2 linked regions of the Macaca fascicularis genome follow. Each later gene encodes a partner of the first gene's protein in a complex. Links are inferred from orthologs where the notes say so. Each region holds a gene or a part of one and is shown on either strand. Other genes may lie near its edges.

Region 1 (11,081 bases):
ACCACAGGAACCAGGGGGGCCGGGTGTGGGGGCTCACGCCTGGAATCCCAGCACTGTGGGAGGCCAAGGCAGGCAGATCGCTTGAGCCCAGGAGTTTGAGACCAGCCTGCAACATGATGAAACCCCATCTCTACAGAAAATACAAAAATTTGCCGGGAAGGGTGGTTTAGGCCTGTGGTCCCAGCTACTAAGGAGGCTGAGAGGTGGGCGGATCGCTGGAGTCCGGGAGGTCGAGGCCGCCGTGAGCCATGGTCACGCCACTGCACTCCAGCCTGGATGACAGAAACCCTGCCTCAAAAACAAACAAAAACACAGAAACCGGGAAACCAGCCCCAGCTCCTGACATCATCAGAGTGATGCCACGCCCTGACATCCCCCCTCCAGATGGTGCATGCTCTTTTTTTTTTTTTTTTTTTTTAATTCTCTGATGCTGATTCAGAAAATAAAAATGTGGAGGTCCAGGTGGGCTGTGTCTGGAACTGGGAAGGTGAGGGAAGTCCTCTGTCTCAAAGGCCTCTTCAGAGGATGCTCTGGTCTTGCCAAGTTTACAGCTCCTCCCTGTCAACATCAAGTCAGGGCCCCAACTCTGTCTTGCTCATCCACCCAGCTTCCAATTGTCTTTCTTTCAAAAGACACACAGTGAAGTTTCATTTTCTTTTTCTCCTGAAACCTAATCTGGCCGGGCTGGCTAGGCATCTATTTCCGGACTGTAAGCAGCTGACACCCGCCCGGTGGAAGTTGGCGTCCCTTCCCTTGCGGGTTCAGAGCTGCAAGAAGCACCAGGCTTGGCCACTTAAGCCCCAGCCTTGATCTAGCCCACCCTCTCAAGGCCACAGTGCAGAAGCCTGCACCACCTGCCAAGTCTCCCCGGCTCCTTGCAGCTGCTGTGAGCATGGCCCAGGCTCCTGCTGACCCGGGCAGAGAAGGTACAGTACTCCTTCCTTCCAAGGACCAGCGGTGGCTCCCGGGGTGAGATTTCCACTTCTCTTTCTTCCTGTTGTGCTTGGCCCAGATCATGATGACAATACCGGTATCCTAAAGAATAGTAGACCAACTGGGCATGGTGGCCCACGCCAGTAATCCCAGCACTTTGAGAGGCAAGGTAGGTGGACTGGTTAAGCTCAGGAGTTTGAGACTAGCCTGGCCAACGTGGTGAAACCCCGTCTCTACTAAAAATACAAAAATGAACCAGGCATGGTGGTGCATGCCTGTGATTCCAGCTACTCAGAAGGCTGAGACTGGAGAATCGCTTGAACCCGGGAGGTGGAGGTTGTAGTGAGCTGAGATGGCGCCATTGCACTCCAGCCTGGGTGATAAGAGTAAGACTTCGTCTCAAGAAAAAAAAAAAGAAAAGTAGAAAGCTGTCGTTCGACAGCTGACTATGCCCTGGGCACCTCAAAACAAGCTTCGCAAGCATTTCTCAATGGCCTGCAGGGACAAGTGCCATGTCATTCCCATTTTATAGATAACTGAGGCCCTGAGAGGTGAAATGACACTCTCGGGGTAGCACAGCTGGTGAGCACTGGTGCTAGCGTTTGAACACCCATGTCACAGTCATATCGAGAACAAAGCAGTTTGCTTTGATGAGGTACATGTATGCCCTTGTTCCTTGTTGTTGCATTCTTTCCTCAACTAACATTTCATTCATTTTATTCCTGGAAGAGCTGCAATGAAAGCCAATAGTGTATCAAGCAATTGCTGTTCTCTAGGGTCTCCACGAAGCGCTGTGGACTGTAGGTGAAGTGTGGTTTTGCAGTTTGGGGGATGGGTTTGTTTTGTTTTTAATCCTCACCGCAATCTTTGAAGTAGTTATTATTGTCTCCATTTCACAGAAGGGGAACCTGAAGCCGGGGGGAGGTCACATAGCTAGTAGTTGTCAGGGCTAGGAGCTCAAACCCAGGAAATCAGCCATCAAAATTTTAAAAAACCAACCCAGACTGTGCCCCTGGTGGGCTAATGTCAGGGTGTGGCCAGGAGCCGCGCTGGCCACCGAGTTCCTGTGGTGCTTCCTCTTCGGGGACTCACAGGTGCTGACAGAGGTTCCGGACTCAGCCCTCGCTGGCTTTCCTTGTCTTCCTCCCCAGTTGATTTTCCTTTTGTGACCAAATTGCTGCCTACACCTGCTCCATTTTACAATTTTCCATTTTCAGACATAGGAGCCTGGGACTTAGCGGTCGAGTCTAGCCCAGCACCCGGGCTTGTCCTGCATCCACACCTCTGACCCCCATCTCCTCTTGGATCTGTGGAGCAGAGGTGGTGGCTCCCTAGGGTCAGCCTTCCAGAATCAAAACTCTGCAGCCGGGCACAGTGGCTCACGCCTGTAATCCCAGCATTTTGGGGGGCCAAGTTGGGGGGATCACCTAAGGTCAGGAGTTCGACACCAGCCTGGCCAACAAAGGGAAACCCTGTCTCTACTAAAAATACAAAAATTAGCCGGGTGTAGTGGTGCGTGCCTGTCATCCCAGCTACTTGAGAGGCTGAGGCAGGAGAATTGCTTGAACCCGGTGCGTGTCTGTAATCCCAGCTACTTAAGAGGCTGAGGCAGGAGAACTGCTTGAACCCAGGAGGTGGAGGTTGTGGTGAGCCGAGATCGCGCCACTGCAGCTGCAGACTGGGCAACAAGAGTGAATCTCTGTCTCAACAACAAAAAACTCCGAGAGACAAGGCGAAGCCAGGTGTGAAGTCAGGTGCACGGGGATGCTGCTGGCTGCCGGTGGGGGAGTTTGGTAGGCGCAGGAGTGGGAATTCCCAGGTCTTCTCATTTCTCTTCACCTGCACACGGTAGCCTGTCAGCATTGTAGCCATCAGGGCGAGGCACAAACTGATTTTTCCCTCCCCTACAAGTGCTGCGACCGAAGATCCCTGGGCAACCCTAGAGAATCCTCTGAACAGGAAGAAAGCCCAGATGACAAGGACTGAGTCACTGTCCTGGAAGGGGAACTCGGGTCTTTCCCAGAAGAGCTCTCCCACGCACTGCCCTCGGGTTCCTTGAAGCAGAACCTTCTGGTGACAGGTGGGCCCCCCCCCCACCGTGGCTCTCCCAGGCTGCTGGCTGCAGGTGCTGCCTGTACCCTGTGTCTGCCCCAGCCTCATCTCTGGGCAGTGGCTGGCTTTGATTTTTTAATCATTGTTTGAGCTAATGGTTTTGATTTTTAAGAGCTGCCTCAGGAGGAGCAGGGGCCATTTGGAGAATTCCTCCTTGAATCTCTTGGGGTCCTGCTTAGGGCTCATTAAACTCAGGCCAGGAAACAGCAGCACCTGCCAACTGGCCAAGGAGGAGCTGCCTGGGTCTACTGAGTAAATGTCTGTCCCTAGAGACAGACACTCACTTACTCAGTCCTTTTTTTTTTTTCCAGAGATGGGGTCTTGCTCTGTTGCCCAGGCTGGAGTACAGCGGTGCATTCATAGCTCACTGCAGCTGCAACCTCCTAGACTCAAGCGATCCTCCCATTTCAGCCTCTTGAGCATCTGGAACTACAGGCACGTGCCATCATACCTACCTGATTTTTTTTCTGTTTTTGTAGAGATGGGGGTCTCACTATGTTGCCCAGGCTGGTCTAGAACTCTTGGCCTCTAGGGGTCCTCCAATCTCAGCCTCCTGACATGCTAGGATTACAAGTGTGAGCCACCACTCCTGGTCCCATTCATTCATTCATTCATTCACTCAGTCACTCATACATTCAACTGCCATTTCCTGAGCACGTCCTGTGTGCCCAGCACTGTGCTACATGCTGACGGTACAACAGTGAGCCACGCAAGTACAGCAGGGGACACGAGGGGACCCACACACAAGCAGATCCCAGCCACTCTGGAACACAGGGACAGGCTTCCCCAAGGAAGTGGCATGTGAGGAGGCTGGAGGTTGAGTAGACATCATACAGGTTGGGATGTGGGGGAAGGGTGTTCCTGGCAGCCGGAACAGTGTGTGCAAAGGGGCTGGGGTGAGTGGGGCTAAAGGGAGCACAAACAGGCCAGCACTTGGAGGGAAGTTGGGAGCAGGTGCAGGTCAAGCTGGGTGGTCGGCAGAGCCAGATCTGGAGGGTACCCGACTGGAGCTGGTGGGCCAACCGGGAGCCTATTGCTGCACCCAGGAGATGGTGGTGAGGAAGCGGGTGGTGCCGGCAGAAGAGAGGAGTGGGGCAATTCCAGAAAATCCAAGAATGGCATTTCCAGGGCTCCACGACTGGGCACTGGGGGAAAGGTCTGTTTCTGATGTCTGGTCGGTTTCTGGCTTCGATGGATAGTGGCACCATGGAAGGATGGTGAGCTGAGAAGAGGCGATTGATTCCCAGGGAGGATGGCAATGGGCATCAGGTACACCCAGGCAGGACTTGCCTTTGTGCTCCCAGGTCCCCCTGCCTCCCTCTGGCTCCGTCCTTCTGCCCTCTACTCCTCTCTGCCCTGAGGACACCTGAGAGCTGAGGAACCCCACTGCCCCCTGGCACCCACACCCGGGGAGGGCACAGGCGAGGCGGCACCTCCTCTGGCTGCCAGGCCATTTCTGATCAGCCTGCATGCCTCTCTCTGGGCAGGGGCAGCTGCTCTGCTGCTCTTAGGGGGTATCTGCTGGGGTCTTTGCCCTCTCCTCTGCCCTGGACACCTCTCAAAAAGGGGCCTCACGTGCCTCTTGGAGCCTCCAGCCTGGGCTCATCTGTGGGGACCCGGGAGACTCAGTCCCTATCTCTGTCCCCCGCTCACTCCCCCAGGCCACCTTGAACAGAGGATCCTGCAGGTGCTGACAGAGGCTGGCTCCCCAGTGAAGCTTGCCCAGCTGGTGAAGGAATGCCAAGCACCCAAGAGGGAGCTCAACCAAGTCCTCTACCGAATGCTAAAGGAGCTGAAAGTCTCCCTCACAGCCCCCGCCACCTGGCGCTTGGGCGGGACTGGTCCTGGAGGCGAGGGTCCTGCAGAGCTGGCCCTGTCCAGCCCTGGTAACTGCCACCCTGGGGAGGTGGGTCTGACCAGGCAGGGACCATCCTGGCAATGGACAAGCATAGATTTGAGCCTGGGTTCGAATCTGAGTTCTGCCACTTGGGAGCTCACGGGTTTCATCTCTGTGCCTTGGTTTCTTTTTCTGGTTGATGGAGCTGACAGCAGGGCTGCTTGGTAGGGGTTGCTGAGAGAAGGCCTTGCATCAGGCTCAGCCCAGCCCTGCACACAGAAAGTACTCAGCGGAACACTAACAATTATAACAGAAAATCATCATGATGGAAACAGCAATGACATGATGGTCCTAATCACAGAACACACTCAGTCCCACCAGCCCCCCTTTTCTAGCTTTACAGCCCACAGCCAGAAAGAGCTGCCATTTGTCATGCACTTAAGATTAGCTGGGCACTGTTTCAGGGTTCACCCAGCCCTCACACAACCCCAGGAGGCAAAGGAGGTTGAGCCCCGGAGAAGTAAACCAGCAGGAAGCCGCAGCTGCCAGGGCACAGGCAGGACTTGATGTCAAGTGTGTTTAACTCTGGAGTCTGAGTTTGCAACTACCGGCGTTGCAGCTCACCCTAGGGTGCTGCCCACCTTTGTGGGGTGGAGCCCTGGTGCTGTTTTCTGTCCCCCACCCCTCTGACCCGTCTTTCTTTCTCCAGCCGAGAGGCCCCAGCAATGTGTAGCTACAGTTCCAGAGACCCCTAGCCCTCAGTTCAGCCAACAGCGGGGTAAGTCATTGCATGCCCCTTCAGCTCCCGGGACACAGGATCCCACTCCTCAGGAACCCCAGGCCCTCCTTGAGGGTACGAGATCTCACCAGTGTTCAGGGGCCCTGTCCCACCCACCAGGTGGCTCCCAAACAGTGTTCAGAGCCAAGACCCAGCCCTGACAGCGGGAGAATCTGAATGTCGAGCAGTGATTTCTCCAGTCAGACAATAGCTGACCCTCACCATGCACCCACCATGTGCCAGGCCCAGGGCAGAGCACTGCGTGCACATCCCCCATCCTCAGGGCACCTCTGCGGTGCGTCATCATGACCCCGTTATCGTGGTGCCCATTTTACAGATGAGGAAACCAGGCCTCGAGGGGCTGGGTCCAGGGCCACACAGCTAGAAAGCGGTGGGTGAGGCAGATGCAAATTCTAGGACTCCTCTCTAACCACGTGGCCGTCCTGCCTCCCAGAGGAAGACATCTACAGGTTTCTCAAAGACAATGGTCCCCAGAGGGCCCTGGTCATCGCCCAGGCACTGGGAATGAGGACAGCAAAAGATGTGAACCCAGACTTGTACAGGATGAAGAGCAGGCACCTTCTGGACGTGGATGAGCAGTCCAAAGTGTGGACGATTTACCGCCCAGGTAGGCCCCCAGCTGCCTGCACCTGGGCTGCAGAGGGAAACCATGACACTAGCGCTTGGTCTTTGCTGGGTGCTCTGCTGAGAAGCTCACCAGAAACTGCCAGAAGCTTCTGGAGGTCCCACTGACAGTTCACTGCAAGGGCTTCCAGGAGGAAGGGGTGTGCTGGCAGGATTAACCAGGAACAGCTTCCTGGAGTCGTGGCCCAAGGGCTGCAGTTGCAGAAGGCCAGCGAATGGGATGGAGGTGGCCCATTCCCAATGTTCTCAGCTCTGAGGTGCAGGTATCAGTCTGGGTTTGGGAATAGTTTTCTTTGAGCACTTTGCCCAAGTTGGGGTTTTAAAGTTGGCAGAAGAGAAGGCAAGACTAGGCTCAGACCCCTACTGGGTGGAGCCCCAGGGTCGTCTTCCCTGTGAGATCTAATAGGCGCAGGGCCAAGATCCAACAGGCCCATGGCACTCTTAGGGGTCCTTGAAAATGTTTTAATTTTAATTTCATTTAAAATCAGAAGAAATGAATACTATAATAATAATGAATATCTAAAAATGGACCAGGCGTGGTCGCTCATGCCGGTAATCCTAGCACTTTGGGAGGCTGAGGCAGGCGGATCACCTGAGGTCAGCCTGGCCAACATGGCAACCCCCTGTCTCTACTAAAAATACAAAAATTAGCCAGGCCTGGTGGCCGGCGCCTGTAATCCCAGCTACTCGGGAGGCTGAGGTAGGAGAATAGCTTGAACCTGGGAGGCAGAGGTTGCAGTGAGCTGAGATCACACCACTGCACTCCAGCCTGGGCAACAAAAGTGAAACTCTGTCTCAAAAGAAAATTAAATTAAATTAAATTTAATTTAAAAATCCGGCCTGGGTTATCCTTGACATACAATGTAATTTAAATATTTGTGTATGGGGGAAGGGCCCACAAAGGCACAGGAGCCGAGACCCCAGAGGGTGGTGATGGGCCCCACACAGTCTGGGCAGGTGCCTGCCTCGACCGCCATAGGGCGACTCTGCTACTCACGATGGGTGTCCGAGGGGGTCTCAGCATCCTAGGGCTGCTATAAGGAAGGAATAATGCATGACAGTCACCAGATTTTAAACACGAGTGACAAATTCAAATATCTAAAATGTCATGGGTGCGAAGCACAACTGATCTGTCCAATGGGCTGCTGTCTCTCGGCCACTACTCAAGGGAGAAGGGCAATGGTGCAGGTGCTCGGGGGTCCGGGCTGTGGCTGCCCCCCAGGGAGAGCAGTGTGGGGCCCCTGCAGTCCTCCCAGCCAGCAATCATGGCGGCCCAGCCATGGGGGCAGCAAAGGACACAGGTAGGGTGACTCACAGGGCTATTTTCAAGCGAGGCTCCCTCTGAGGTACCTGGGGTGTCTGTTAAACACTCAGCTCTGGCCTCCCACTTGGCCCTACTGACTCGGAACGCCCAGGGTATTTTAACAAGCTCCCCAGGAGAATTTGGTGCTGCCCACTGGTATTGGGAACCCCTGACCCATAGAGAGGGGCGAAGGGATAGAGTTGAATATTATTTTGCAGAAGGTTCTGGAAGAAGAGCAGAGTCGGCCTCAATTATTTACCAGCACAATCCAATCAACATGATCTGCCAGAATGGACCGAATGGCCGGATTTCCATTGCAAACTCCGAAGCCATCCAGATTGGACACGGGAACATCATTACAAGACACACAGCCTCCAGGGAGGATGGTGAGTTACCCGAGAGAGCCCGGGGAGGGGACCTCGGTGGGAGGCCACCTGATCCACTGGGTGGGGGCAAAGGGTAGGGATGGGGAATGGGGGAATTCAGCCCTCCAAGGGGAAAGGGTTGCTTCCAGATCCCCACAGTCCACCTTTGTGGCCGTCCTGAGAATGAGGACGCCCGGATCAAAGCTCTCCTGATTTCCCTGTATTCTGATACCTTCTACGTCATTTTAAAATTTAATTTTATTTTTATTTTTTAATAAAATTTTAAAATTAAGATGGGGTAGCTCTGTGTTGCACCTGACCTTGTGCCTCATTTTCAATGGGGTCCGGTGTTTTTCATGAGAAACGACTCAATTTCCTCTCCCTCCGGGGAATGCCACAGGGGAGGTGATCATAGCACAGTATTTGTTCTGAGACACGCAACTTTCCCCCACATTTTAACAGGCTGGAAACTGGGGTGCATCTCACCACCTGTGCCATCCTGGTTTGGATGAAATGCGGTGTTGCACTTTGAGCCCTTACCCTGTGCTGGGCACTGTGGCAAGAGGGAACAGAGCCACCTGTCAGCCCAGCCTTGTCACCTGTGAGTGACAGCTTCAGCCCCAAAGTCGGGACACTCCCTGTAACCTTGGGAGAACCTTTCCCCTCTGTCAGCCTCAGTTTCCCCAATTGTGAAACTAGGAACTTTGTTCTAGAATCTAGATCATAGTTTCCCCAGCTTTAATCCTCTGAGCCCCACATTCCCGATTCTGGCCATACTCATGTCTGATTATTTAATTAATGTTGAGTAGTGCACATTTTTAAAATTTTATTTTAAAACAATTTTATAGTATTATTTTAAATGAAAACCATTAAAATCACCATAAAAATAAATTGTCCCTGGCAGTTAAAACACTGCAGGAGGCTCTGAGCCTTTGGTGTTAGCACCAAAGGAGACTTTGTCTCTATGAGATCAGAAGGCTCGGGAATGACAGAATCAGAACGAGGAGCTCATTGTTTGGGTTTGTGAGTGTCCCTGCAACATCCAGGCACCAGCCCCAGTCCTGAGAACCCAGGGAGCCCCAAAATGAGCTATTCTGCCAGGTACTCTTGCTGTCTAAGCCAGAGCCTGAAGTCTTTGGCCCCCAGTTTGATGGTGTCTAGGAAGAATTCAGAGGACAGGACTGTGGGTGGTGGTGAGGAGGGGGAAGAAGCCTGCAGTAATCTCTGGTGAGGCTGTGCCACTGTCCCCTGCCAGGTTCTACTGGTCCCCGCCACCTCCCTTCAATGGCACCAGGTCATTCCTCAACTCAGGGGACCCTGAATGATCCCTGGGGGCCCCAGGACATCCACATGGAGCGGTCCATGCTCAGACGGGTGCAGCTGGGACACAGCAATGAGATGAGGCTTCACGGCGTGCTGTCCGAGGGCCCTGCCCACAGCCCCCCTGGCAGCCCTCCAGGTAACTGGGGATCTAGAGGCCAGACCCACCCCTGTCACCCCGTGGGTCCTCACTGGAAGGAACTGGAGCCAGAATCTTTGTGGGCAGAGAAGCATGATGGGAAATTCCTTTCCTTCCACCAGGCAGCTGAACCAGAGCAGAGCAGGTGGGGTTTTTAAAGCTAGCACTCTAGGCTGGACACAGTGGCTCCCACCTGTAATCTTAGCACTTTGGGAAGCCAAAGTGGGTGGATCACCTGAGGTGAGGAGTTCGAGACCAACCTGACCAATATGGTGAAACCATGTCTCTACCAAAAATACCAAAAAAAAAAAAAAAAAAAAAAAGTACTGGGCATGGTGACATGTGCCTGCAATCCCAGCCACTCAGAAGGCTGAGGTAGGAGTATTGCTTCAACCTGGGAGGCAGAGGTTGCAGTGAACGGAGATCGCACCACTGCACTCCAGTCTGAGTGACAGAGTGAGACTCCATCTCAATAAATAAATAAATAAAATAAAGCTAGCCCTCTGGATCCCCATCCCCTACAACCCACTGCAGGAAACCTCAGTTTCCCCATTTGTAAAATGGGCAGAGAAGCAGAGGCTGGGCCAGCTGGAGTAGGGTGATGGTTTGATACTGGAATGGTGTTTAGGGAGGTTGGAAGACAGGTGCCCTACTAGGTGCTGTGGCTGCAGTGACCAGAGGGCCCCGGGCAAAGGCCTCCCCCGCAGTGGGAATGCAGAGATGGGCTGGGGGAGAAGAACCAGCAGGGAAGCCAGAGAGGGAGGAGGAAAGCAGAGGCCCCGGGAAAGGAGTCACCAGAGAGCGGCCAGGCTGGCGAGCCCAGGGAAGCATCTGTGGGGTTCAGCGAGAGGGGTCGTGGTGACCTTGCGGGGGTGGTTTCTGGGAACCAGGGAGCAGAAGGGGTCTGGGGAGTGGAGGAGGTGAGACTCAGTGTGGATGGTTCTTCAGAAGTTTGGGTGGGAAAGGGCAGAGCCAGATGACAGGGGCTGGGGCCAGGCTGGGAGCCCCCATAAGATTTCAACCAAAAGTGGGGGCCAGTGTTCCAGTGCAGTGGGAAGCAGGCAGCAGAGGAGAGAGGAGCTGAATCCCAGAAGACACTGGCGTCCAGATCAGCTGGGCAGGATCAGTGGGGCAGACCCACCAGCTGGTGGAAAGACGCTTCCCAGGCAGCCCAACAGCACGTGTGGAGGTGTGGTGGGCAGGCACAGGCTGTGCGCCTGGGATGGTGTGGGCCGCTGGTGGGAGGTCTGGGGAGGAGGGTGAGTCAGTCTGGGGGTCAGGGCTCCGGGCCACTATCCAGCTGCTCCTGGCTCCAGGCCTGTCTCCCTTTGACCCACAGTCTCTGCCACTGCTGCCGGCCCAGAAGCTTTGTTTGAAGCAAGAATGCCCAGTCCAAGAACTCACCCCAAGGGGGATGCCGCCCAGAGAATCTACATGAAATCATGCTTTCTCGAGGATGCCACCATCGGCAACAGCAACAAAATGTCTATCAGCCCAGGGGTGGCTGGCCCAGGAGGAGTCGCAGGGTCTGGAGACAGGCAGCCAAGGGAGGACGCAGGTGAGCTGGGGTACCGAGTGGACCCCTGTGTGTTCTCTTTCTCTCCCCACCTTCCACTCATTCATTCATTCATTCTCATCAATCATTTGCT
Region 2 (11,081 bases), on another chromosome or scaffold:
CAGGGTCTTCAGCAGCTATGTGACTAACAAATATTAAGCCACAATCTATGGTTTGCCTTTCAATGCTCTTAATGGTACCTTTTGAAGAACAGAAGTTCTTCATTTTGATGAAGTTCAAATTATTAAGCATTTATGTTATGTAGATTGTGCTTCTGGTGTGATATCTAAAAAATCTTTAATCTTTCCCTAGACCAAGATCACACAGATTTTCTCCCATGTCTTCTAGAAGTTTTATGGTTTTGGATGTTTATGAAAAGCCAATGATCCATTTGGACTTTATTTTTGTATAAAGAGTGAGGAATGGCTCAGATTTGTTTTTTTAAGTACAGGTATCTAATTGTTCTTGTACTTTATTTTAGTCTTTTCTCCATTGAACTGTGTTTGTACTTTTGTAGAAAATCAATAGACTGTAAATTTACAAGCCTAGTTTTGGCTCTCTAGTTTTCCGTTAGGCTTTATGCTTATTCTTTCTCCAATAACACAAATTGTCTTATTATTTATATACCTTTTAAAATATTTCTAAATCATTGCCCTATGGGACAAAATATACATTTTTAATTATGCAGTATCTACTTTCAAATAATACTGCACTGCTTCACATGTTGTACAGGATCTTCTAACAGTATACTCCTAATTCTTCCCTCTTGTATTTTGTGCAATTGTTGTCATGTAGTTTACTTTTACATTTGTATAAACATATAATACATTGATAAAGTATTTTTGCTTGAGACAAGGGATTGACAAACTAAATGAGATACTGTAATGAATGAGAAACAGATGTTTATTGTGATCATCTGTTGATATTCTGAATTTGTTTATCCAGCAATTATCCTATCCTAATTTGGTGGAGAGAGGAGCCTGTGAACTGCTGCTCTCAGGTAACTTACAATCTGATTGAAGAAGATGTATCACGTATTCTTCAATTAAATGCTGCTTAGACCAGTTGGCTTGAATTGGTCCTTTTTATTTCTCTATGTTTTTTTACTGGCCTTAATAACCTGGATGGAGAAAAAAAAAAAACATGCAGTCTGAGATGCGGTCAATAAGTGGCCCCTCCTCTGTTTGCAGTCACTATGGCCTTCTAAAGTGTATATCACCTTCTGATAAAATTATTTTGTTCCCACCCTTCTAATACATTGGTTTGTCTTGGATCATACTCCCAAAGTGAATATCTGACCTGAGAAATACACTCCAACTTAGCAAGGTCATATATGCATATTTCTCAAGTCTTGGCCTCCACTCCTACAGAGACAGCAGGTAGTACAACCGACACTGAGACTTGGGGAAGAGCACCAACTAGTGGCAGGAGATGGGTAGGAGGGTGTGGTGGAAGGTCAAGAGTAGGGGTTTACATGGACTCAAGTGCCCTGGACTATGGTAGGTGCAGGCGTGGTGGGACTGGCTAGGGAAATGTGTCCTCAAAGTATCTATTGTGTGTCTACTTTCAAAGACATTACTCAGAATGACTTTTCCAACTCTGGGCAAGCTTTCTGCTTTAGACTTGTAGTGTTACTGAGGAGCTCTTTCTTGGGCTCTGTGTGCATAACAGTATGCGCCTCTGCCTTGGAAAGCCCATGTTCTCTTAACTGTGTATCTAGAATACGTGTTTCCTAAGAGGGAGGTTTCTCAGTTCTGGGAGATGGACGTGTATTAAATATCAATGTCTTCCATTCCATATCCTGTTCAATGGCTCCAGTCCAGCTTCCTGACAGAAAGCAAAACATATCACCCCCTTGGAGAGTTGACTTTGCTCCATGCAGTTCCCACCTTTATGGTGCTATGAACTCCAGATGTCAGCTGTGGTTTTTCTCCATTTTTTGACAGTGTGAAGAATGTAAGTCGAACCTTATCTCCTTCCTTACATTGCATGGTGTCCTCGTTTCTAACCGCCAATACTTCCATTTCCCCAGTCTTGTCACTTAGGTCAAATAATACATTTTTCTTCTTTTCTGTTACCTGTAAAAGAAAATCAACATCCAGCCTCTGATAATCTGATTAAGGAATGCCGCATCAGTCACACATCAGACATGCCAGAAGAAGGCTCTAAAAAGAAATACAGTTAATTCTTGAACAACACAGATTTTACCTGTGCAGGTCCATTTACATGGGAATTTTCCTCTGTCTCTGCCACCCCAAGACGGCAAGAGCAACCCTCCTCTTCCTCCTTCCTCCTCAGTCTACTTAACGTGAAGACAGTGATGAAGAACTTTGATGATCTACTGCCACTTAATGAATAGTCAGTATATTTTCTTTTTTGCGATTTTCTTAATAACATTTTTCTCTACCTCACTTTTTAAGAATATAGTATATAACATGTATAACACAAAAATGTGTTAAGTGACTGTTTATATTGTCTGTAAGGCTTCTGGTCAAGAGTAGGCTATTAAGTAGTTAAGTTTTGGGGGAATCAAAAATTATATGCAGATTTTCGACTGCTCGGGGTCAGCAGCCCTAATCCCTACATTGTTCAAGAGTCAACTTGAAGAAAAAGTTTCTGCTTTGAAACTAGCAGGTATATATCTAATAGATGTTAGCAAATTCACACAGAGGAGGCAGACATGTCTTACTTAGAATATGCTGTCTCCTATGCCCATCTTTCCAGTCCCAAACTCCCTTCCTTTAGGAGGAGGCCAGGGTGGCCCATAGAAGCAACAACTGCTGGATAGAGAGGATGGAGCTTCTCCAGGGCCAGTAGCCAGATTAGTCAGGGGAAAAAAGAAGACCCTGGGGTTGGAAGAGAGCTATTTTTTTTTTTTTTTTTTTTGAAACAGAGTTTCGCTCCTTCACCCAGGCTGGAGTGCGATGGTGCAATCTTGGCTCACTGCAACCTCCACCTCACTGGGTTCAAGCCATTCTCCTGCCTCAGCCTCCAGAGTAGCTGGGATTATATATAGGTCCCTACCAATACACCCGGCTAATTTTTGTATTTTTACTAGAGACAGGTTTTGCCACATTGGCCAGGATGATCTGGAACTCCTCAACTCTGGCGATCCACCTGCCTTGGCTTCCCAAAGTGCTAGGATTATAGGCATGAGCTGCCGTGCCCAGCCTGAAGACAGCTATTTAAAACAACAAGTCCAGGAGAGACATGAGGTAATGATGCAAGATCCAGCTGAGAGTCTAGTAAGTAATCAAAGACAAGAAATAATGCACAATCAAGTCTAGATCAAAAGGAAATAGGAGGTTGGTCAGTTATTTCGGAGATTGATTGTATTTTAGCTTTAATTTTGTGGACTAAATCAATATATGTTAGTGGCCAGATTAAAAGCTGAAAACTGGGACAAAGAACATGACCTTCCTATCCAAGGTCATTTTACACTTGAGTTTTCCAAGAGGACTGGAGAGTCTTCCTATCAATTCCTTCTAAAACTAACCCAAGGCAGCAGAGGTTATTCTGAGGCTCTGAATGCAGGGGCAGCAGGTTCCCTCTCTACGGTTCTTCAGGTCCTGCCCTAGACCAGAAAAAGTCATTCCACAAGGCTAGTTCCCTGAAGCTCAGAGTCATAATACTTTATTATTTCTCACTTCTAATAAGTCTCCTCGAGGAGTGCCTCTGCCCGGCCACCCCACCGTCTGAGAAGTGAAGAGGGCCTCTGCCCGGCCGCCCCACCGTCTGGGAAGTGAGGAGGGCCTCTGCCCGGCCGCCCCACCGTCTGGGAAGTGAGGAGGGCCTCTGCCCGGCCGCCCCACCGTCTGGAAAGAGAGGAGCGCCAGCCGCTGTGCAACCTTCCAAGTGTGAAGTGATAGCCTTGTATGTGATCTTTTCTGTCTTCCCCAAGTTTGCATTTTCGACATTAAAGTTTACTTTTAATTAAAAAGAAAGAAATAAATAAGTCTCCTCAAGCTAACTCTTTCTTCTGTTTTCTTCATTTAATCACAGTTCTTTAATCCTGACTTGCATATTGGTTTTTCAGGTCAATTAATTTGGTTGATTACTCAACTACACTTATTTTGCAATCACAACAATAGTCACTTAAAATAAAGATAATATGGACAAAGTACAAAAATAACGCAGAAATAAAAACTATGTGAACGAACTAATTCCTTTTTCAGAGGCTACTGGGATAAGAATAAGTTGAAACAGGATTGTGACATTTTTGACAATAAAAACAATTTTTGAGTTTTCGTATGAATTTTGGCATGTTAACTCTGCAGCTCTTTAGAACTTTGTATTTTTTTATTTTGTCTGTATAGACATTAACACCTTTTCTAAAGTCTCTTTAAGATCAGATGGAAAATACGTTATTCTTACTAATCAATATGAAATTAGCTATGAAAACTTACCTTCTGGACTACAAACAACCCATTCACAATTGTTCCAAGGGGCTGAGTTTGAAGCGTGTTGATCTTTGGGGTTTCACCAGCTTTTCTGATAATGTTCAGCGGGACATCAACCTTTTGGTCAGATTTAGCATCTAACACACATGAGGCGCTATTTACCTCTAAGAAACCACTGTGCTGATAATATCTTGATATTATAATCATTCTCTTTGGAATGAATTTATCTTTCAGCAGTGTATTAAAAACTTTTACAAAGAAGAATTCCTTCTCTGTAGCCACCGTAGCATGAAACATCTCTTGCTTGCCTTCTTGGGTCTCAAACGTGAAGGGCTTTGTTGCTTTCAGTACCATAACTGGCAAACAGTCTTTCCGAAACTCTTCTCTGATAGATTCCTGCTGGGCCACCCTCTGTTTCTGCTCAGGCTGAAGACAAGAGAAGAAAGATATCAGCTGTGAGTCAAAAAGGTACTATTGAGAGGACCTTCCTTCACCCACAGTGCTAAGCCTCAGGAAACCACAGAAGACAGGTGGAATCAAGGGAAGAGACACAGAGGGGATAAGAAGAGACTTGAGGCCTAGAATGATCTAGATGGAACAGAGAGTGCAGAAGGAAGATTTCAACTCCTGTATTCAGATAAGACGGTGTAACATGTTTTGGAGGAAGGATCCCTAAAACCAAATCCTTGCTTTGCCATGTGCTGTATAAAAAGACTTCATCAGATTTCTGAAATATTGCTAAGCCTCGGGGTAAATCTGATAAATCTGATTCCATCTTCTGTGGATTCCATTCGGGCATAATATATCCTTGTTTCTCTATCCAACACTGTCCTAAACATTCATTTTACTCTGGTATAAAAGTGAGAGAGCTCAGTGACCTGCACAGGGTTCCCCAAATTCCTAGGGAGGTATTGTACGTAACAAAATGTAGACTATGTTTAATGTGAGTTAAGGGGGAGACCTAGGTCAGAGATCTTACAAGTGAGTTAAAGGAGAAATTTAAAAGGAGAATTGATACTACATTTGTGGATTTACCCTTAAATAATGAATTATGCACTAAGGTTTACATTTTAAAAATATATCTTATTATTTGAAATTATAAAAAAAGAAATAATTTAAATACATAAAAAATAGAATTTGGTTAAACAAAATATGGTATAGTCACAAATAGATTACTATACAAATATTAAAAATGCTTTAGAGAAATAATGTGATAAACTGTTATAACTGACTCAATAAAGGGAAAGGTCCTAAACAGATAAAAAATCTCTTTCTTTTTGGATAAATAAGCAGTTAAAGCACATACACAAACACACTACAGAGATATTTACCAACATCAATATTTTTTTCCTAGATGATACAATTATAGGTAATTTTATTCGCTTCTCTGTGTTTTTTATTTTTCTGAATTAACAGAGATAAGATACCTTTTTTGGTTTGTTTTGGGAGAAAATACTACTTTTTAAAAGCAACTTGCCATCTAGAACCAAATGGAAATACAGGGAAAAACAAACAGAGGCATAAAAAGTCAAGTGTAGGAGTCTCGAAGGCTGTCTCCGATGTGACCTGAAGCTTGGGCCAGTGGAGCTGGGGCCAGTAAGGGGCCCTGACGGGCAGTATAACTGACTGCATTTGGATCAATGCAGGTAAAGGTCAGTTCCACTGAGTTCCACTACAAAAGTCCTCTTTGGTCCATGTATCTTTAGTTGAGTCTTCCAGACTGAATGATGCACATTTTCATTACTGGTGATGGAATCACACCATGTATACTTGAACCTTGTTTTCTGAAAAATCCAGAAGTTTCTGGGCCAAACCCAGAGGAAATGGCTCCTCTAGACAAAGAGAATGAAGTATGTGTAATCAGTTTCTAGAGCTCACACAGCTATAAAATGGTGTAACACCTGCTTCACAGGAAATGAAATTGCATGTGTGGTGGATTCTGTGTTGGGCCTTTCCGATATTGCCTGCCGCTCCCTCAGGACTAAAGTAATCATTCTCATCAATGAGACTCTTCAGGCACTACTCTCTCAGCTAAACAGGGCCACCTCACCTTGTCCATGCAGGTGTATAAAGGGCTTTTTTACATTACTTTTAAAAAGCAATTTGCTGTCAAGAACTAAGGGAAAATACAGGGGAAAACAAACAGAGGCATGCCAGGCCGAGTGTAAGAGTCTCTGCAATAGATCTCTGATGTGACCCAGAGCCTGGGTCTGTGCAAACCACAGACTCCCCCACCAGTCTTGGGAGCCCTGAAGGGCATTCTCAGCTCCCGAGCTCCCTGTGGGGTAGGCCAAGGCCTCTATTGCAACTATATTGGACTTGACATTCTTCCTCTTCTACTCCTTTCACTTCCTCACAGATACTAATTCTGAAAGTGCTCTAAAATAGACTTCCTGTAAACAACTGTCTATCTCAGAGTTTTCGTCTTATAGAATCCAAACCATAACAGAGTGTTAATGTGTCCAGGCCCTGACAGAGATTAGAAGCTCAACAGGTGTTTAATCTGATTAATCAGAGGTAGTTCCTGTTTTTGTGACTCAGAGTGCTTTTCACACTGTGGCCTTAATTCCCTTATTTGCATGCTCTGAGATAAAGAACAGAGAACAATGTGGGAAATGACAGTGACAGTGATGCTCTTACAAGGACAAAGACCACTCCACTCTCCTCATCCTACCTTAACATGAGGAGAGACTTTTGGTGCAGCACGTTGCTTTGTGACATCATTTCTGACGGCTGCAGATGCAGCAGGACTCATTTCAGGTTGACTTAGTGGCTTTGGTTTTGTTACCGATTTGTATTCCTTATCAACTGATTAAAAAATGGAAGACATGGCCAATAAGCATATAAACATATGAGCAGTGCACATTTTCAAATGTCACCAGAAATAAATACTAAAACCATATTAAGATATCTTCAAGAGCAGTTAATTTTTCTAAAAAAAAAAAAAAATCTTGTTTTAAAATGAAAGAAACTGGACCTGGCACAGACACCTGTAATCCCAGCACTTTGGGAGGCCAAGGCTGGAGGATCAACCCGAGGCCAGGAGTTTGAGACCAGCTTAGTCAACATAGGGAGACCCTATCTTTATAAAAAATATTTTCAAAATTAGCCAGGTGCAATGTCACATGTTTTCAGTCTCAGCTACTTGGGAGGGTGAGGCAGGAGGATAACTTAAGCCCAGGAGTTCAAAGCTGCAGTGAGTCGTGATCACACCACTGCACTCCAGCTTGGATGACACAGTGAGACCTTGTCTGTCTCAAAAAAAAAAAAAACAAAAAACAAAAACAAAAGACAAAAAACAAAAGAAACTATGAAGTCTTAGTCTTAAATCGGTATAACACTTTGGAAAATGGTTTGGGACTCTATTTATTGAAATTCAATATCTACTTACCTTAACATCCAGTAATTCCATTCACAGGTGTACAGTCAAGAGAAACACACATACAAATACAAACATACAAAGATAAGTACATAAGGCTTATAATAAATATTCATAGCAGCATTTTTCACAATGGCCTCAAATGACTAAAATAACAATAAAAAATAGACCAATTCTCTCTCTATATATGTATATGTATATGAGTTTATATGTGTATGTAATTATCAATTAAATGGAATCTTATGTAGTAGTGAAAATGAATAAACTACTGCTATGAAACAAGGGCTGATTTCTTTTCTTTTCTTTTTTTTTTTTTTGAGGCAGAGTCTCACTCCGTCACCCAAGCTGGAGTGCAGTGGCCCAATCTCGTCTCACTGCAACCTCCACCTCCCAGGTTCAAGTGATTCTCCTGCCTCAGCCTCCTGAGTAGCTGGGATTACAGGTTCATGCCACCATGCCTGACTAATTTTTGTATTTTTTTAGTAAAGACGGGGTTTCACCATGTGGGTCAGGCTGGTCTTAAACTCCTCACCTTGTGATCCGCCTACCTCAGCCTCCCAAAGTGCTGGGATTACAGGCATGAGCCACCGCACCTGGCCACAGATTTCTAATTATGTTCTACAAGGCCTTGCCTTGTCCTTCTATCGAGGGGACCCCATCCTGCCCTCTGAAGACTCTCTGTACTCCAGCTACACTGGCCTTCTTTCAGTCCTCAAGCAGGTCAACACCTGCTGTCATAGGGATTTTCACAGTGTTCCCTCTGACTGAAGGTACCTTTAACTCCTATGCATTTTTCAGAGCTTAGTGCAAGGGTCACTTCCCTATGGAACCCACTTTGACCAACACCAACTCTAATTCGTGGCTTATGTTAATGCTCCTTTGACACATGCTGCTGAAGAACCATCTTCCTTTCCATTAGAGCATTTGTCTCAATTAATTACATTCATAAATTTTCCTGTAAGAAAAATATCTACTTTCCCTTTAGAATAGAAGCTGTATAAAATTTGGATTTGTTTTTAACACCTTGTTTTATCATAAGAACCTAAAAGCTTTCCTTGTACCTATTAGCAATTCAATAGATATTTACTGAATGGATGAAGAAATGGATGGATGGGTGGCATGTTGGCTCCTCACTAATGCCTACAAAATGCAGTTGTATACTTTGGCTGGGCTCCTCCACATCTATGGTCAGGTTATATGTTATTGTGAAAAGCCAACTCCTAGTCCTGATTTTTAAAAAGACCATGTAACAAGATGGTCGTGTTTAATGACTTAAGGCACTCTCAGGCAGAAGAGGGCCTGAGAAATTATTAGATGTCATTTCTGATAGAATTTGAACAACTCTGGGCTGAAATAGCAAGGCAATCACTTTGATTTTACTAAAAACAGAAACGATACTGTTTTATGAGGCAGTAGGTACTCTGTCATTACCTTTCAAAGATCAGAAAGTGGTTGACTGTCTGACAGGGATATTGTAGCAGGATCTCTGCTCTAGAAAGAAGTTACACTAACCTTCTAATGATAAGTTAGTTCCATGCAACTGGTTTCAGAAAGGTATGCAGATAAAGTCTCTTCTATGTTCACAGCATCGGCGAGAAAACAGCATCAAGGAGGCCAAGGGAATCAACCTACCGTTCTACCACATCACATCAGCCATACTTCATCTCACACACCGTGGTACCAATATTTGTGGACAAGCTTGTCTGCCCACTATAAATCTCTCATTTGCCTTAATAATCAGGTGGACATTGTTACTGATTATCTCATTTATCATTTTCAGCATTTTATTTTAATCTTGCAGGACTTCTGTAGACTGTGATCACATTTTCTCTTCGCTTCCTTTTTCTATGCTTATGAGTCCTTGTATTTTCTCATCTTGCTTCATACAAAAGCTTCTCCTCTCTACTAATTATTGCCTCTGTCTTCATTAAAGATTCTCCAGGTATCTTCTACCTTCCATGGGGTGAGGTTGTGAGTAGAAGAGCATATAGCACTCTACATGCAGACATGCCATGGCAACAGAGAAGGATCACTTAAACAAGAATGATAGTAACTGTTCAAAAAAAATGAAACAAAAGCTTTTCATACAATAATAGAAATAGCATGGACACACAAAAATTTCCTACATTCAAAAGAGGCCTAAGTATGTCCACGGATGGAATTTGAGAGCGATGAAGGAACTCAGTTGCCTTCTTGTAGAGCATGCAGGAAGCATACTTTGTGTTTTGTTGTTGTTGTTGTTGTTGTTGTTGTTGTTGTTTGAGACAGGGTCTCACTATTGTTGCCCAGGCAGGGGTGCAGAGGCATGATCTCAGCTTACTGCAACCTCTGCCTCCCGGGTTCAAGTTGATTCTCGTGCCTCAGCCTCCTGAGTAGCTGGCATTACAGACGCCTGCCACCATGCCTGGCTAATTTTTGTATTTGTAGTAGAGACAAAGTTTCACCATGTTGACCAGGCGGATCTCGAACTCTTGACCTCAAGTGATCCACCTGCCTTGGCCTCCCAAAGTGCTGGGATTAAAGGTGTGAGCCACTGCACCTGGCCCAAAAGCATACTTTGAATTCTACAACTGTTACATTTGGAGACTCTCATTTGGGACAGCCTCTGGATGATCTACTCCTGAGTCTCCAAGTTAGTCCCAAACTGGATCTTTTTTAGCTAAGTAGAATAACAAAATCCCAGAATCATTAGAACAGCAAAATGGGGAGAAGATTGTAGAAGGGGAAATTTTGTGCTATCCTGGTCAAAGAGAAGAATTAATTCTTGATTTATTGCCAAAATAGAAGATATTTCTAAATATCTCAGCCTATGTTTGCCAATAGATTCCTGTCTCATCCCAGATAAGAAACACAGGGCAGCTGGTTACATGGAAGTAACATGGGTAGTTACTGCCATCTAAGGGCCATCTTAAAGAACTACACCTTCTAACTTAAAGCCTGGGAAAACAACCACTCCTTTCTCATTAGTGCCTTAGAAACTACCTCACAGTTTACATCTGTATAGAATTATGGACCTACATAGTATCACTTATGTGGCTTCATTTAACCTTCTTATAAACCATGTGTGAGAAGCCATGTCACCGTGTTGTACACCCACAAATGCTATTAAAAGCTGTTGTAATCTTTGCTGTTACGGTTTTACTTTGAATCCTAAAACTGTTGCATTTGGAGACTCTCATTTGGGACAGTCCTGGAGTGATATGCTCCTTTGTTAGCTCTTTTTTGTTCTTCAGACATAAAGCCGGGACGTATCAATTGTTCTTAGTAAACAAAATCAGGAATTTAAACTAAATGTATATAATTCAGATGGAGATGATGAGTGATTTATTGAATGATGTTAAAAAAGTCTTTTTGCTGTGGGTAATTTATACTGTCACTGGAGATAGAGAGGAGAGAGAATCCCTGAAGGAGGATTCTCCCTCCC

What was found.
Region 2: ZBP1 (region 1) and AIM2 share a complex: the UniProt entries of both Homo sapiens proteins name them as parts of the AIM2 PANoptosome complex. The link is inferred for Macaca fascicularis from reciprocal best matches to the Homo sapiens genes ZBP1 and AIM2.

What each region holds. Positions count from the first base shown.
Region 1 is NC_088384.1:113,675,794-113,686,874, reverse strand, and holds the start of ZBP1 (Z-DNA-binding protein 1), read left to right. Parts: upstream 1-740; 5' UTR 741-892; coding exon 893-926; exon of another isoform or gene 927-969; intron 970-2,524; exon of another isoform or gene 2,525-2,675; intron 2,676-2,844; exon of another isoform or gene 2,845-3,013; intron 3,014-3,356; exon of another isoform or gene 3,357-3,492; intron 3,493-3,818; exon of another isoform or gene 3,819-4,706; coding exon 4,707-4,931; intron 4,932-5,591; coding exon 5,592-5,660; intron 5,661-6,114; coding exon 6,115-6,288; intron 6,289-7,826; coding exon 7,827-7,994; intron 7,995-8,435; coding exon of another isoform or gene 8,436-8,485; exon of another isoform or gene 8,486-8,597; intron 8,598-9,228; coding exon 9,229-9,432; intron 9,433-10,771; coding exon 10,772-10,990; intron 10,991-11,081.
Region 2 is NC_088375.1:102,014,820-102,025,900, reverse strand, and holds the end of AIM2 (interferon-inducible protein AIM2), read right to left. Parts: exon of another isoform or gene 7,670-11,081; intron 7,087-7,669; coding exon 6,953-7,086; intron 6,111-6,952; coding exon of another isoform or gene 5,916-6,110; exon of another isoform or gene 5,605-5,915; intron 4,705-5,604; coding exon 4,285-4,704; intron 3,846-4,284; exon of another isoform or gene 3,536-3,845; intron 3,094-3,535; exon of another isoform or gene 2,937-3,093; intron 2,237-2,936; exon of another isoform or gene 1,966-2,236; intron 1,957-1,965; coding exon 1,768-1,956; intron 999-1,767; coding exon 972-998; 3' UTR 764-971; downstream 1-763. UniProt on the Homo sapiens protein: Sensor component of the AIM2 inflammasome, which mediates inflammasome activation in response to the presence of double-stranded DNA (dsDNA) in the cytosol, leading to subsequent pyroptosis.